2 linked regions of the Xenopus tropicalis genome follow. The protein of the gene in region 2 interacts with the protein of the main gene of each other region in a biochemical or structural test. Links are inferred from orthologs where the notes say so. Each region holds a gene or a part of one and is shown on either strand. Other genes may lie near its edges. The genes, in order: arf3 and arfip1.

Region 1 (8,291 bases), on a different chromosome or scaffold from region 2:
CTCTTTAGAGTCCTTAATTGCACTTTTGTACTACTCCACCTTCAGTGGAAATGTTCCACAGTCGGGCCCTTCCCTTTCTGTTCCTCATGACTGTTAGACTGGGATTTCCACATCTATGTCATGGCTGGCAAGGTATCCTGAACTAGGACAACTCTTTCCACTGACACAGAAACTATTAAACATGTATACCTTTGATACAAAAAGTGCAACATTCCTCCCATGTCTGTAATTACACATTGCTGGACATTTTCTCTGCTGGGAAAAACAAAATGTTGTCAGTTCTATGTGTTAAGGAAATCCACTTCCTATTTTCCCTTATCTCACTTTCCTTCTTTAAGCCCTTTAATTGGAACGAGTGAGGATAACAATGTTATACGCAGCACTGTGGTAAGGTTTTACTAATGACACAGAATGAGCTGTATTTTCATTTTAAGACAAATTTACCTACAGATCTATCTTTAACAATACTGCTATGGAAAGTAAAAATGGTAGCTTGACATTTACATTAATTACATGTATGTCATCCCATACATCCATCTGTGCTCAAAATGGCCTCCTTCAATGTTGCTTACAGTCCCATAGTACCTATTTCCTTTTACCCTGGGGGTGATAGCCCTGTTACAGTGCCTTTTAGCTGACCTTGAAAGTTGCCCATTAAACTGATACTCTCTCCCTACTATTATTGCCTGTTGCCATTGCTACCTTCTTCCTCCTGAACTTACCATCCAGTCAAGTCATAGCTGTACTATCTCTGATGAAAAAATATTAAAGAGCAACAGTCAGTATTATTTTAAAAAAATTAAATGTAGTAGATGTTTAATAAACCTGTTCTTCAGTTTGTTTCTTAAAACTGTTTACGATTTATTTATTTTGAGTTCCTCATCCAGCATTTTTTTCCAGCTTCAACCAACATGCAGTGAGTTACTGACAGATATCATTTGCTCTAACTGGCTGATTCTAGCAACAGTAAACTACTGACACCCATGGCGTAACTAGATGTTACTGGGTCCCATATCAAATTCATTTTAGGGCCCTAAAACACTGGCAAGTTGACCTGATCTACCAAGATATATTGAAATTTCTCATTATTTTCGGCCTTACAGGGACCTTTACACTACTGGGCCCAACTGCAAGTGCAGGGTCTGCTTACTCTGTAGTTACTTTTTGACTGACACGCAGCAAGGTTGAGTTGTTTGCAGAAAGACAAAAATGTTAGGTTAAGGAAGCACAATAATAAACCTTTTATGTGACAAAAGGTGAAAATATTATAAAATCTATTTGTGAGAAGGAACTAAGCATCCATTACAATTTAAAGGGGCTATTTAATACTTTATTCTGTATTTCCAAATTAAATGTTATTCAGTGACAGATTGTAAATTGCCTGGTTTCCAAAACAATGTGCAGAGCTGTCAACTTGCCAGCACCACTAGGAGGGGAAAAGTGCATCACGTGCTGGTGTGCGCTTCTTATACCCGGAAGTGACATCATGTGCATGCGCTAATGCCCGATTGAAGCCAAAAAAATTGCTACCCATGCGTGTGCAGATGCTCCGGATGATCTCACCTTACGCCTACTGCACATGCGCATCCAGATTAAACACGAATTTAGGGGAATATCAAAAATTCAGGAGAATGCTATTGGATGACAGGAGACAGGGGAGAAGAACCCAAAATCAGGTAAATCACGAAAAAAAAATGGGTGACAGCTCTGAATGTGCATCTAAAGTTCTGAGAACAGCAGATGATGACCAGACATGTCAACTCACCTTAATTTAACCCTTTCTCATTTGCAGTAAAGGGTCCTTCACCCACTGTCTGTAATTTGCACCAGAATCTTTACTTTCCCACTCTATTAAAATTCATAGAAGCGAAACTGGTCCATCTAGGTGCAATAACTTCAAGCTGGTAAGTTAGAAATGTGGATGACCCAATACAAAGTCAGCACTGCAGAGTTCATGTAGAAACATTTAGGCATGCCTATGACAAAGGCAGTAGTGCAGCACAGCATATGAAGCCCATTTGGTAGGTCACCCCTTCCAAATATATATCCACTTCCCAACATTTTGGTGGAGAAATGTATGGAAGTATAAATCACCACAGAAAAACAGATATTGGAGCCTATAGTCTTTTTTTAAAATTTTATTTTCATTGTTTACATGATTGCTGGACTTTACAATGTTCAAACACAATGGAATTATATCAATAAGTGATAAAAATAAGAAAAAAGGATATCACTCTTATAATTTTCATGACTTGTTTTTTTTAACCAGGGTAAGGGAACTGTGGAGAGGTGAGTTGTAGGGGGAGGGGTATTGGGAAAGCCTATACTCTTTAACTTCATGACACCCAGTCTGTGGAGAATCCATTTGTTTACATAAGAAACAAAAACCTATATAGGGTTGCCACCTTTTCTGGAAAAAATTACTGGCCTTCCTTGATTTTAGCAGACACAAAGGAATCTGAGAAATTAGAAAAAAGGAGGTTCCATCTTATTTCTTAAATATGCATTTTGACTTCATTAAATTATAATAACCAATACACAAATTATTCGGTTAACTCTTAGGCTGTTAGGTTAACACTTAACTGAAATAACACATGCCTTACAATGAGTTGAAATATATAAAAAGTATATTTATGAGAATTATTGGTCATGTATAACTGTGTTAAATGTCAGTGGTTATTGTGGCCCTGCTGATTTACTATAAGTATGGTCTTTTATATAACGCCCTAAAAAAGAACAAGTGCCACTAGGCCTGAACTGGCAATCTGTGCAGCCATCAACAGTCACTATTTATTGGGCTGATGGGGGGCCTGTATGGACCTTTCTGTACTTGAAATGCCAGACCCTATTTTATATCCCAGACCTGGGTGCCAACAGTTTGGGAAGAAATTTCAGCCTTCCTCCCTATTTATCTTCTGTTAAAGGAGACATATTTTATAAATGGGAAAAAACCCTAATTTTGTAGGCAATTATGAATAATATTTGAGCTCCCTATAGATACTATCAGTTCTCTGTCCCTGTTTGAAATGAAGGGTGGGCGTGTCCTAACAGTCCCTGCCAGAAGCACAGTAGGAGGGGGAGAGCCAATCACAGTCACACAAGCAAAGACAGGCTTCAGTTCCCTATGAGGTCAGCCTAGCTGCTGATTGGATCCTACAGTGCTTGTACTTAGAGCCGATGGCTCCCCTGCACATCCAGAAAACAAAAACTGTAGTACCGTGTTAGCCAGTGTCAAAAATAATAATAAAAAAACAAAACACAAATACAAGAGTATTGTAGAAATGATACCTATATTGGCTAACAATAAAAATACATTGCAAGCTTTCGGAGCTCTAAGGCCCCTTCATCAGGCAAAATACAAATTAGTATTTTTATTGTTAGCCAATATAGGTATCATTTCTACAATACTCTTGTATTTGTGTTTTGTTTTTTTATTATTATTTCTGCACATCCAGAGAATTCAGCCAGCAGGAAGTGGAACAGATGGGGGGGCTACTGGGGTTTTGGTGGAATTTCTCAATAAATCAGAAACAGAACTTTTTTAAGCTCAATCCTTCTATATCTAGAGGAGTATTATTCACTGGTACAGTCTTAATTTTTATAGGATTTAGAGAAGTTGTGTTGCCCAACTAGCTAGATTTTGAGCCTTTTTGATATTTTTCATGGCACTGCCTTGTGTATAGGCGCCTGTGTGATGAGGCTTAGCTTTTGCGAGAGGCTGTGTGGGTGCATTGTACAGATCAGGCTCTCACATGAGGCACAGGCCTGCTGCCCACTCATCCCCGCAGCACAGCGCAAGGTTGGAGCTGCTGCATCTGTTACTGTGGAAACGGAGCCAAGTCTCGCGAGAGGTCCCTAGCGCATCGCCCCACAGCTATGGGAGATATCGCGATATTTCTTCGTGGTGCTTCCGGCCGGAGAGGACAGAGGAGTCGCTGCGGTAGGGAAGGAAGAAGAAGAAGAGGAGGTGGAGGTAGGTGACAGGCAGCGAGTGTCGCTCGTTAGTGTCGCTGTTACATGCCTTCGTCGTTTTGCAAGCAATCATCACCATCAGTATATGAGCAGCGTTTGGCTTTCCCCTTCACTGAATAACGGCGGGGTGCCTGCCTCCATCCGTCATACAGGAGCTGACAATGATACCTATATATGGGGACCTCCCCATAGAGCAAGGCACCTGTCAAAAAAATGTTACATTAGATTTCCCTCAGCCCTCGCAAATGTTGTGTTTGGCTTTCTGTTTGCACATTGACTGCAAATCCCAGCATTCACCATTGGCTTTGGGGCCACAGGTAGAAAATCATCAACCTCCGTTTTCCTGCATTGTCTTGGAGATCGATGGCTTGTATTGCACCTTATACATATATAATACATATATAATACACACGGGCCTGGAATGTCAGATATGTCCTTAGAAATAGCCTTAGTCATGTCATTGTCACATGACTCACCAAAATCTGTCTGTTATAAGAAAATGATGCACCTTCTGTTATAAAATGTGAGGATATTAGAAGTCACCCTGAGTTCCATGAGCTGTATAAAAGCCCTCAGCCTCATAGAACCTCTTGGGGCTCACAATATGGCTGTATTAGAAGTCACCAAGGGTTCCATGACCACATATAGTACTTGTTTGTTTAATACAGCCCATGGAACGTCCCAATAGCCTTTTTGTATGTTATCCCACCTGTTCATTTATGACAAGATATCAAAATTAGGTAGGAGGCAAATAAAAAATGACTTTTCACGATTTTATAAATGAAATGCCCAGTCTTAACTCCCAAGATGTTTTATTTGTTACTTTACTTCCCTCCTCAGATACACGTACCCCACCAGTACCTTCATTGCTCTACACAACTCCCAGCATCTTTTACTTTGTTATTTTTAAGTTTTATTGTCACTGTCACAATTCAGTCACCATTACTGTCAAGAACACCTTCTCACACCTTCATTGGCATTCTAAACTCCCAGCGCCTTCACTGTCACACACAATCCCAGCACTTTTATTGTGACATGCAACTCCCAGCACCTTCACTGTCACACACAATCCCAGCACTTTTATTTTGACATGCAACTCCCAGCACCTTCACTGTCACACACAATCCCAGCACTTTTATTGTGACATGCAACTCCCAGCACCTTCACTGTCACACACAAATCCCAGCACTTTTATTGTGACATGCAACTCCCAGCGCCTTCACTGTCACACACAAATCCCAGCACTTTTATTGTGACATGCAACTCCCAGCACCTTCACTGTCACACACAATCCCAGCACTTTTATTGTGACATGCAACTCCCAGCTCCTTCACTGTCACACACAATCCCAGCACTTTTATTGTGACATGCAACTCCCAGCGCCTTCACTGTCACACACAAATGCCAGCACTTTTATTGTGACATGCAACTCCCAGCGCCTTCACTGTCACACACAAATGCCAGCAATTTTATTGTGACATGCAACTCCCAGCGCCTTCACTGTCACACACAAATGCCAGCACTTTTATTGTGACATGCAACTCCCAGCACCTTCACTGTCACACACAATCCCAGCACTTTTATTGTGACATGCAACTCCCAGCACCTTCACTGTCACACACAATCCCAGCACTTTTATTGTGACATGCAACTCCCAGCACCTTCACTGTCACACACAAATCCCAGCACTTTTATTGTGACATGCAACTCCCAGCACCTTCACTGTCACACACAAATCCCAGCACTTTTATTGTGACATGCAACTCCCAGCACCTTCACTGTCACACACAATCCCAGCACTTTTATTGTGACATGCAACTCCCAGCGCCTTCACTGTCACACACAAATGCCAGCACTTTTATTGTGACATGCAACTCCCAGCGCCTTCACTGTCACACACAAATGCCAGCACTTTTATTGTGACATGCAACTCCCAGCGCCTTCACTGTCAACACAATGCCAGCACTTTTATTGTGACATGCAACTCCCAGCACTTCACTGTCACACACAAATGCCAGCACTTTTATTGTGACATGCAACTCCCAGCACCTTCACTGTCACACACAATCCCAGCACTTTTATTGTGATATGCAACTCCCAGCACCTTCACTGTCACACACAATGCCAGCATTTTTCTTGTGACATGCAACTCCCAGCGCCTTCACTGTCACACACAAATGCCAGCACTTTTATTGTGACATGCAACTCCCAGCACCTTCACTGTCACACACAATGCCAGCATTTTTATTGTGACATGGAACTCCCAGCACCTTTTTGGAATACTCCCAAGATTTAGATATTGCATTAGGGTTATGTGCTGAAAAAAATGAATTGTATGGTACTGAAGCATTGGGAACATGATGTGTAAATGAATTAAGCCGTGCTCAAGAATTCAATATTGTAATATAGTATAGATCATTAATATTTATGCACATTAAATTAAAGCAATAATTAGTCATATATGCCTTCTCAGTTTGGTGTTGGAGAAATGATCCCATTGATCGATATAGGGTAGGCACAAGAGTGCTGAACAAGGCTAGCTGCACTTGTGGTGTGAGGGACGTAGGATAGGGAAGCAAATTGGGGGTGCACAGTGGCGGGCTAGCGCCAGACCATTTGGTAGCAGACACATAGGGGCTGATTTACTTACCCACGAACGGGTCGAATGGAGTCCGATTGCGTTTTTTTCGTAATGATCGGTATTTTGCGATTTTTTCGTATGTTTTGCGATTTTTTCGGATTCTTTACGAATTTTTCGTTACCAATACGATTTTTGCGTAAAAACGCGAGTTTTCGTATCCATTACGAAATTTGCGTAAAAAGTTGTGCATTTTTCGTAGCGTTAAAACTTACGCGAAAAGTTGCGCATTTTTCGTAGCATTAAGTTTTAACGCTACGAAAAATGCGCAACTTTTCGCGTAAGTTTTAACGCTACGAAAAATGCGCAACTTTTTACGCAACTTTCGTAATGGATACGAAAAACTCGCGTTTTTACGCAAAAATCGTATTGGTAACGAAAAATTCGTAAAGAATCCGAAAAAATCGCAAAACATACGAAAAAGTCGCAAAATGTTCGTTTTCAAGTCGGAACTTTTCCAATTCGGGTCGGATTCGTGGGTTAGTAAATCAGCCCCATAGTGTATCTCTTTTTAAATTTTAAACAGTTCTTTACTATGTCAGAACATTATGCTTATATAGTGAATAATGTACCCTCTATTGTAAAATATAAGGCTATATATCCTTATATAGAACATAATACACAAGATTAGATTAGATATTATATCCATATAAATGCAGTTTAGTGATGTCATCAGTTATAGTTATAACCATGCAAGGATATACATTTTACAGTGTTATTCACTGTATAACTTGCAATATGGGTCATAGCCACTATATTGTTTATTTATAAATAGCTATCTATATATAATATATCACTCATGGTTATCCTGGGAATTTACATTCCATGTAGCATATCCTCGCACTTACATGGTCCTTTTAACTCCTTTTTGCACTGACCTATTTCTTATTCAGTATCATTTTCCGTGGCTATGTATTCCATATTTCTGTTGGAAGTCCTCCTTCAGACTATAGCCAAACATACAATTAGTCTAATTAAAATCTGTTGGATTGTCTGTAAGGTAATTGAGATAACTGAGTTAAAAGCCTGACTACCCCCCAACTTAGCAAAAAACAAGGTAACCAGGATAATAAAACATAGTAAAAAAACAATCACTTCTAGATCACAGTCTGATGTGCCTTAAGTTTTTTTTCATCCCATGCTTGAGATTTCAGTAGGAAGTAGAGGTGCCTTGAGCTGGAATGCTAAAATCCTTTAAAGGGGAATGGTTGCAGTTATGTATTTTAAAATATCCACTAAACTGAGAGTTTGATCGATTATTTTTTTTTTTTATATAATTGCATTTAACCCCTATCTAAGCAGTTCACTTGCTGACTAAAAATAAGTATTGTCTACTAATGTCTAGTGCAGTGATCTCCAACCAGTGGCTCGGGGGCAACATGTTGCTCACCCCCCCTTGGATGTTGCTCCCAGTGGCCTCATAGCAGGTGTTTATTTTTCCTGGCTTGGAGTCAAATTCTGGTTGAATATTCACATATGGCCAATCTCAGCCCTTATTGGTCACCTCCAGGAACTTTTTTCATGTTTGTGTTGCTTCCCAACTCTTTAAATTTGAAAGTGGCTAACCAGTAAAATTGTAAGACTATTTCTTACCATTTTAACTAGGTTGTAAGACTAGCTCCTAGCATTTTAAGAAAGCAAAATAATAATACTATAGAAATAACATTTCAGGCCCCAAAAC
Region 2 (7,592 bases):
AAAAATACAATATCCATAGCCATAAAATCAACAGAATACAAGTCTTGTACAACTGATCTGATCAATAACACAAGGCCAACATTTCTACATTTCCACATGTATATGTTGAGATATCTTTATTCAAAGCATCAGATAAGCTCAGCAAGTACAGGCTTGTGAGATCTGGAAACTTTTTTCTTCAGCTTCTGAATAAATCAACAACAATTATGAGAACATATTAAAATGTTTCCCAAGCTACAATTAAGCTGAACTTCTACTTCACCAGATACAGTGCGATTTGGCAAAGGAGACGGTGCTGACAATAAGCTGAATACTCCAGGCTTTGCTCATGGCTGACTGCATTAAAGCTTGATAAACAAAAATTGTGATGGTTCTGTTAAGCATAAGCAACCGGGGGGGGAAAAATATATATATACACACGCACGCACGTGGCAAAACTTTTTTGGAACACATTCACATGTTGATTTATAACTTTTATTCAATTGCAACAGTTACCCTTACCCAGAACCATAATATTAATTGGTCTCTTGAAGGGTAAATATAGAAATAAAAAACAGTATTGTCATTGCCAGCTCTATGTTTTATAATTGTAAAATAGTTGTTTTGCAAAATCTCTCATGTTGCCCAAATAACAAATCATACACTTAAAGTTTAATTTTCATTTTAGACATTGTAGCTTTGGGGCAAAACGTGATGTGAGGGCATCAGACAGCACAGGACTGCTTGCACTGACACGTGCCGAGGAGAGAAAGGAGAGAACACACAAGCGCTAATAACTGCTATTCTCCACCAAGAACTGGCACCTTATTCCAGACTGTAATCATAACACTGGGGCACACATGCCTTTGTGAAACACAGATATAAAGATATGGGAGTGCCTGGAGCACTCATCCTATTGCTTCAATATATATACATACAAGTTACAACTAATGGGCAATGTATTTCACCTTGTATATGGGCAACGTTTTCTCGATTTAAGTACCCACCTTGACTCCAATTAGAAAATACATTTCTAACAGATCAGAGCCGTACGAGACATAGTTTTTGGACTGTGTGTGCTCCAAATTATCAATCTCATAATTTTTGTACCATGCCGATAGGTAGTGTAGTTGATTGGACAGGTAACAAAATGTCTTCAGTCAGATAACGATCAAATCTGTGCTTGTGTTGTGTATCTGACAATATCCATGAGGGATATACAATGCATTTCCAGGAAGTCATTTTGGTACAATTGGGGTCTGCAAACTATTTCATGTTCAGAACATTCAATCTGAATGTTAGATTGTTGCATTTAAACATACAATTGTATAACATCAACATTTGTCAGAAGACTAAAATCTGAACGTGTAAAGGAGTGGTTAAGGGGTAGATAGACCAACTATATTTCACTGCCTTAATATATTGGCTCCTCACCAAATGTGGATATTTAGGTAAGATCATATAGATAACATTTACTACACTACTTTCCCTTGGAGTGGACCAAGAGGGCCGGCTTTAGAAATATTATATTCTTACAACAAATTTTGAATTCTTTTATATGTGGACAGTCCAGGCTAGATGAACATAGACAATAGGTTCCAATATCAAAATGTACATGTACCTAATGTTACAAGCTTTATAGAGCCCATCCCTAAAGTAATTTAGTGAATATAAAAGGCATGCAGTGCCATACAGTACAAAGTGTTTGGCCATATAGCAAAGAAAAGTTGCATTTACAGGCTGGGCACTAATACTTGAGAAGCAGTCAGATGTTAATGTGACTGTAATGGCTGGTAGAAATCACAAGTTATTTCATAAAAACCAAGCAAAAAATAAACACCAAGTTATTTTGCTAAATAGTATCACAATTGGCGCTGTCAAGCACTTCGCATAAAGTGGCAAAAAAATTTGGGCTGACTTTCCGTTGGTTTAAAAGCGGCCCATAAGCCACCAGCCCAGGAACAGAATTTCACTAGAGTAGTGACCTTTAGTAAATCCGATGAATTTATTACACTGTAATTCTTTCTAGCAAGTGCTTATTTCACTTCTGCTCACAGCTTCATTGTTCTACCCTTTCCAACTAGTAAAATACCCCCCTAACCCTCTCTGACAAGGTGGTCCTAATCTTTTGTTTAAAAAGACAAATAAATGTTATGTTTTCTGATGCAAAAAAACTGTCTCAACAGATGCAGCCATAAACATTAGCTACTAAGCGCATAGTCAGATGGATGGCTTGGGAGACTTGGATTGATTCCACACTGTTTGTTCAACAGAATTCCTCAGAGTAAAAACCTTCCATGGAACGATGTTTATTGTCTGACCTAGGATCAACACATTGTATGAAGAAGTCTGTGTACTCTTGACCTTATAGGTCAACCATTCATATTTTGATGGAATTGTCCAACTGTTTGCAAAGCTTGTTTCAGAAATGTTACTGGTTTTATTAACAAATTGTTCAGTCAGGGAATACACATTCTCTGGGGTTTGAGTTGCAACCATGTTGTCTAGTTTTGTTGATGGCAAATCAAACTAATATTGTCTGTTACCAAAACATTTCCCCTAAAGACAAAACCACTGATTCTCAACCTGTGAGCCAACCCAACCAGTCTACTGAGGAGCAAGTTTTGTCTTCTACTGCACTCTGACGGCTCATGGCACAAGATGTAACACCAAAAATATGGTTTTAAAGAATTATTCTGTATGCAATATTTTTCAGGATTAGACATTCTTATTTTTATTTTTCTGGTATTTAAATACGCTGACACATTTGCACAGTGCTTTACAGAGATGGAGAAGATACAAACTCCTTGCAGTTGGTGCCCTGGCTGGAATGAAACTCAAGGCCCCCGTGCTGCAAGGTAACAGTGCTACCCACTAAGCTATTGGGCAGCCATAACAGTAAAGTGGAGATGTTCATAACCTCAATTTGAATTTTTGCACAGATATTTCAAGTGCACTTCACTAGTCTTCACCCAACACACCCTTAACCCAAGCATTTATACCCCCCTTTTTGTGTTTCTGTTTGTTTCCTTTTCATAACAGACTGTAAGCTCTTTGGGACAGGGATCCCAACTGTGTATTAAAACACTTAGGGGCACATTTACTAATCCACGAACGTCCGAAAAGTGTCCAAATGCGTTTTTTCCATAATGATCGGGATTTTTTTGTCGCCATGAGAGCATAGCAATTTTTACCAATTCCTGTTTGCAGAATTCCTCTCTGTCAGGCTGCATGGATAATCAGTTTTCATTCCATGAGTTGGTTTAGGGTTATCCAATTCTTTATTTATGCTACATAAAGCTCGACTACAAACATGTGATACCCATTAAACTAATTTGTGTGACTGGAAAAGATTTGGCTACACCAATGTCATATAAAGGGGTGTATATTTATGCATCAGTTATCTTGTGTTTTTCATTATTTGTTGATCAATTAAAAAAAAAAAAATGAAACCCACTGTGATTCAGTGTTCTAAGACAATAAAACATAAAAACTTCCAAGGCAGCAAATATTTTTTATATGCATTATATGATGCCTCAGATGATGCTAAGCAATATAGCAGCACATTAATGTATATGCTCAAATGTAGATATCCAGAGAAAGAATGTCCTGAGCACAAATATTTAGGCTCCAATGTTTTGCTCTTTACAGAAGAAAATTAAATATAATATATGGTATCTGTACCATAAGAAATGTAAGGAAACTATTGTCCAATGATTTTGAGACAAATCTGAACAACAATTGTCTATACTGGAGTTTTCATTCAGCTTTCAAAATACCCTAAACTGAGCTATTGGGCATTGCCCTCTTTTGTGTACCTTTGTATTACTTTTTAATAAAAGCAAATAAAAAAATAAATAAAAATGAAAAAAATACAGGCATGATACTGGCAGCTCAGTTACAGGAATGCATGATTCTATGTGAAATAACCTTATCAGCGCCAGTCCTTACCTGGATGTTTCGTACTGCTTCACAGTAATCAGGGTGTCTTCAATGGTTTTGTTAACTAGAGTATTTACGCCAGAAATAAAAAAGTTCATGGCCCCCAGAAGAGTCTCCCCATTCTTGGCAAGAAGTTTCTGCGTATCTGCATTGTATCCAAACTCCTCCTGCCAAAATAAACAACATTTATTTGCAAAACGTTCATACAAAAAAACAAACTGAGGCAAAAATATCACTGCGGGATTTAAAAGTGTATGTATGTATGTATGTATGTATGTATAACTTTATTTATAAAGTGCCACAAAGGGACGCAGCACTGTACAATCTTACAAAATACAAAATTACACACAGGGAGGACAAGTGATATAATAAATAAATACAATATTATATATATATATATATATATATATATATATATATATATATATATATATATATATATATATATATATATATATATATAAGTGCCATGTGGTATGAGACAAAGTAGGAAGGGGGTCCCTGCCCCGTAGAGCTTACAGTCTAAGTGTAGTATACACTTTCACACAACATGTCTATACTGTGCCATTTATAAACACTTTGCAACACATGTAAAATTGCTAAACACTAATGATGATGGCACTTAGCTCTGCCATTCACCCTTCCTGCAACTCCCAATGCCATACCGATTCCACTGTCGAAGAACTGTTACCAGTAACTGGTGAAGTGATTAGTTTAGTTATATCGGAGTTATAGCAAATGTTCTTGTAATGCTACAAAAAAATTATATACTGCCATGAAAGGAGCACACTATGAAGATGTTTTCACCTATAAAAAGGGCACTTAAAGGAACACTGATCCGTGTGCATTTTACTGGCACTTTTTTCTCCTTATCCATTTAGCAGCTTACATTAAAGCCTGAGCAGTACAAGAGGTTGCTGTGCAGCAAACATATTCTGCAAGGCTATCCAATAGAAATAAATTTCAGAAATATGTGTTAAACTAAACATATCTGTTCGGCTCTATTGTACCTTATACAAACTAATGGCATACTTTTTTTACAGTTCTATTATATAAACCATAAACAAATGAAAAGATTAATTATTTTCAGTGTAAATCCCCTCCATTACACAGAAAATAATATATGATAATATTTAAATACATGGGGCACATTCTAAAAAAAACATTTATAGAAAAGACGGATAAAGTAACAGCACGATATACAAAACATATCATTACCATATAGCATTTACTAGCCAATTCAATGTGATTTGTTGCTACGGGTGACCAGACTTGGGCAAACATAGTGCCTTTTATTACATATGGAAATAAGTTAAGAAACACAAGAGGAAGAGCGTCTGTTCCCGCTACAATATGAGATTACTATAACAATCATCATCATCTATTTATAAAGCGCCAACATTTTGTACAGCACTGTACAATAGAAAAATGTATACATACAGATACTGAACAATACAGGAGGTAAAGGTTGCCCTGCTTGTTATAGCTTACACTATAAGGGTATAGGCACATGGGGTGGTGATTCACTTTTCTCACCTACATTTGTATGAAAAAATGCATTTTTGGCCCAAAATAGGCTCAGTGTACCTGCACATAGGCCAATGCTGTGATGTTGAGAAAAGCAGATCATGCACCCCATATGCCCCCAACCTTACAATTAATACTAGTTTAACAATGAACATAGAAGGAAACTTTTGTGACAATGATTAAGGAAAATGTACCCTAAAATAATTATTGATAAACCACACAAATAAATGTGTACAGTATATTAGTACTGCATGCTGTTTTCATGCTAGGGGAAGCAATTTCCGATATTGTTAAAATATACGCTCACTGGCATAACATATGCATTAGCGGACAACTGCCCATAGTGTTGCAAAGGGTTCTGTGCCTGTGCTACACGGAGGCCTGGAAGGAAAGCTGCAATGACAGATAAACAGAGGTATATATGCAGTCACACAGCAAATGATCCAAACGGAGGATGGCAATCCTAATGTAACCCCAGCTAAAATGTCAAGTAAACTATCTATTGATAAGAAAGGAAAACAGACAGCTACAGGTAGAATAGACATCTGATTGGATATATGACTGGAATGCTTTAATAGTGCCATGGAAACCCTGACAAAGCAGCCGCAAACAGGACGTGCACAGCAGGACGCAGAGCCTATCTAAGTGACTGATAACAAGGGTGGGGAGCAAGAACAGCCAATGGACATGCAGAAACTACAGCCTAACAGAGACATGATCAGATTTGGCAGATTTCATTTTAACTATTGACTTTCATTCACCTGCACACAACAACATCTATTACATATATCAATTCACAGCAATAACACAAGCTCTTCATAATCAAGGTACTATTTCCCATATTGTATTGCATATTAGATGAAAGTCTCCCAATTCATTGTGCCATATGGCAGCCTTTTTCCACAGGAAAGGTGTTCAGATCCCCATGGGTCTCCCTGACAGAAATATTTTAGTCAAAAACCAAATACATGCTAATAGCCTTAAATGTATGAAACATGACATTGTTATACACAAGCAACCAGAATTAACTAGGAACTGCCACTCTGTTTGTCACTAGAGATATATCCTTTATAAATTTCCACAGATTACAATGCCAACTATATCACACATAAATGCAACTATGATGTTTTACTTTCTGTATACTGAGAAACTTCACATAATCAACACACGGCTATTTGCCAATAGGCTGCCATCGGTAATTGCACTTGTTCACATCTGGCTAGTGATCTTAAATAATCCCCATTATGATCTCTATTATCTTTGGGATGGGAATCCTCCAGGTACTTTGTTGGTGAATTGGCTCCCGATGAAAGTAATTTGTGTTATGTGCAGGTGAGAAAGTTAGTAAATGTACCATAAAAGAAAGCAAAATAATCCAATCAATGTAATATCTAATACACTGGGCAATATTATCTAAAGGTGGCCATACACGGGCAGCTTATCTGTCTGTGTTTGGGCCCCCACCGATGGGCTTATCCACCTGATATCTGGACGAAAATCAGACAGATGTTGATTCGGCAGGTTTGATTTTCCCATCAGATCAGGGATCTATAGGTATATTGATATGATCCTCGCTTCAGTGACATCAATACCCGAGGGCCAAACAGTTGGATTACTTCGATATCATTCACCTTAGGTGGGCATGTTGGGGGGGGGGGGGGGGGGAACCTCGCAAATCTTATAGTGTACGGCCACCTTAAGTCCAAATGATGCCTCACTGTTAAACTGCCTGAGCTACTTGTCTGTGGTTCCACCCATCCCTCTAACTGGCAGCTCTGAAAACATAATGATATCCAAAAAGCAACTCAGCAAACAAAACATGCAAATAACCCTTGGCTGAATGCACCTACCTACATTTAGCTAGAAAACCTCTAACCTGCTTAACTATTTACTAACCAGTTTTAATTAAACAATGCTGAGTAAAGTACACTAAGGGCTAAGACAGACAGGGTGATTAGTTGCCACAATTTTTAAAAATCCAGTTGCGGCAGCTAATCGCCACTGCTAAAGTAACAGCAACTTGTACATCTATGCACGGAGTTAGCCATCATGGCAATTAGTCACAGCGATTGTTTTTTTAGTGGCTGCGACTGTGGATTTTCACAATTGCAGCGACTAATAGCCTCATCTGTATTCGCCCTAAA

Evidence for each region.
Region 1: the proteins of arfip1 (region 2) and arf3 form a complex in vitro, tested with the Homo sapiens proteins (2 studies listed by BioGRID). The link is inferred for Xenopus tropicalis from reciprocal best matches to the Homo sapiens genes ARFIP1 and ARF3.

Annotation. Positions count from the first base shown.
Region 1 is NC_030678.2:136,290,061-136,298,351, forward strand, and holds the start of arf3 (ADP-ribosylation factor 3), read left to right. Parts: upstream 1-3,927; 5' UTR 3,928-3,973; intron 3,974-8,291.
Region 2 is NC_030677.2:55,326,913-55,334,504, forward strand, and holds part of arfip1 (arfaptin-1), read right to left. Parts: intron 4,089-7,592; coding exon 3,931-4,088; intron 1-3,930. UniProt on the Homo sapiens protein: Plays a role in controlling biogenesis of secretory granules at the trans-Golgi network. Mechanistically, binds ARF-GTP at the neck of a growing secretory granule precursor and forms a protective scaffold.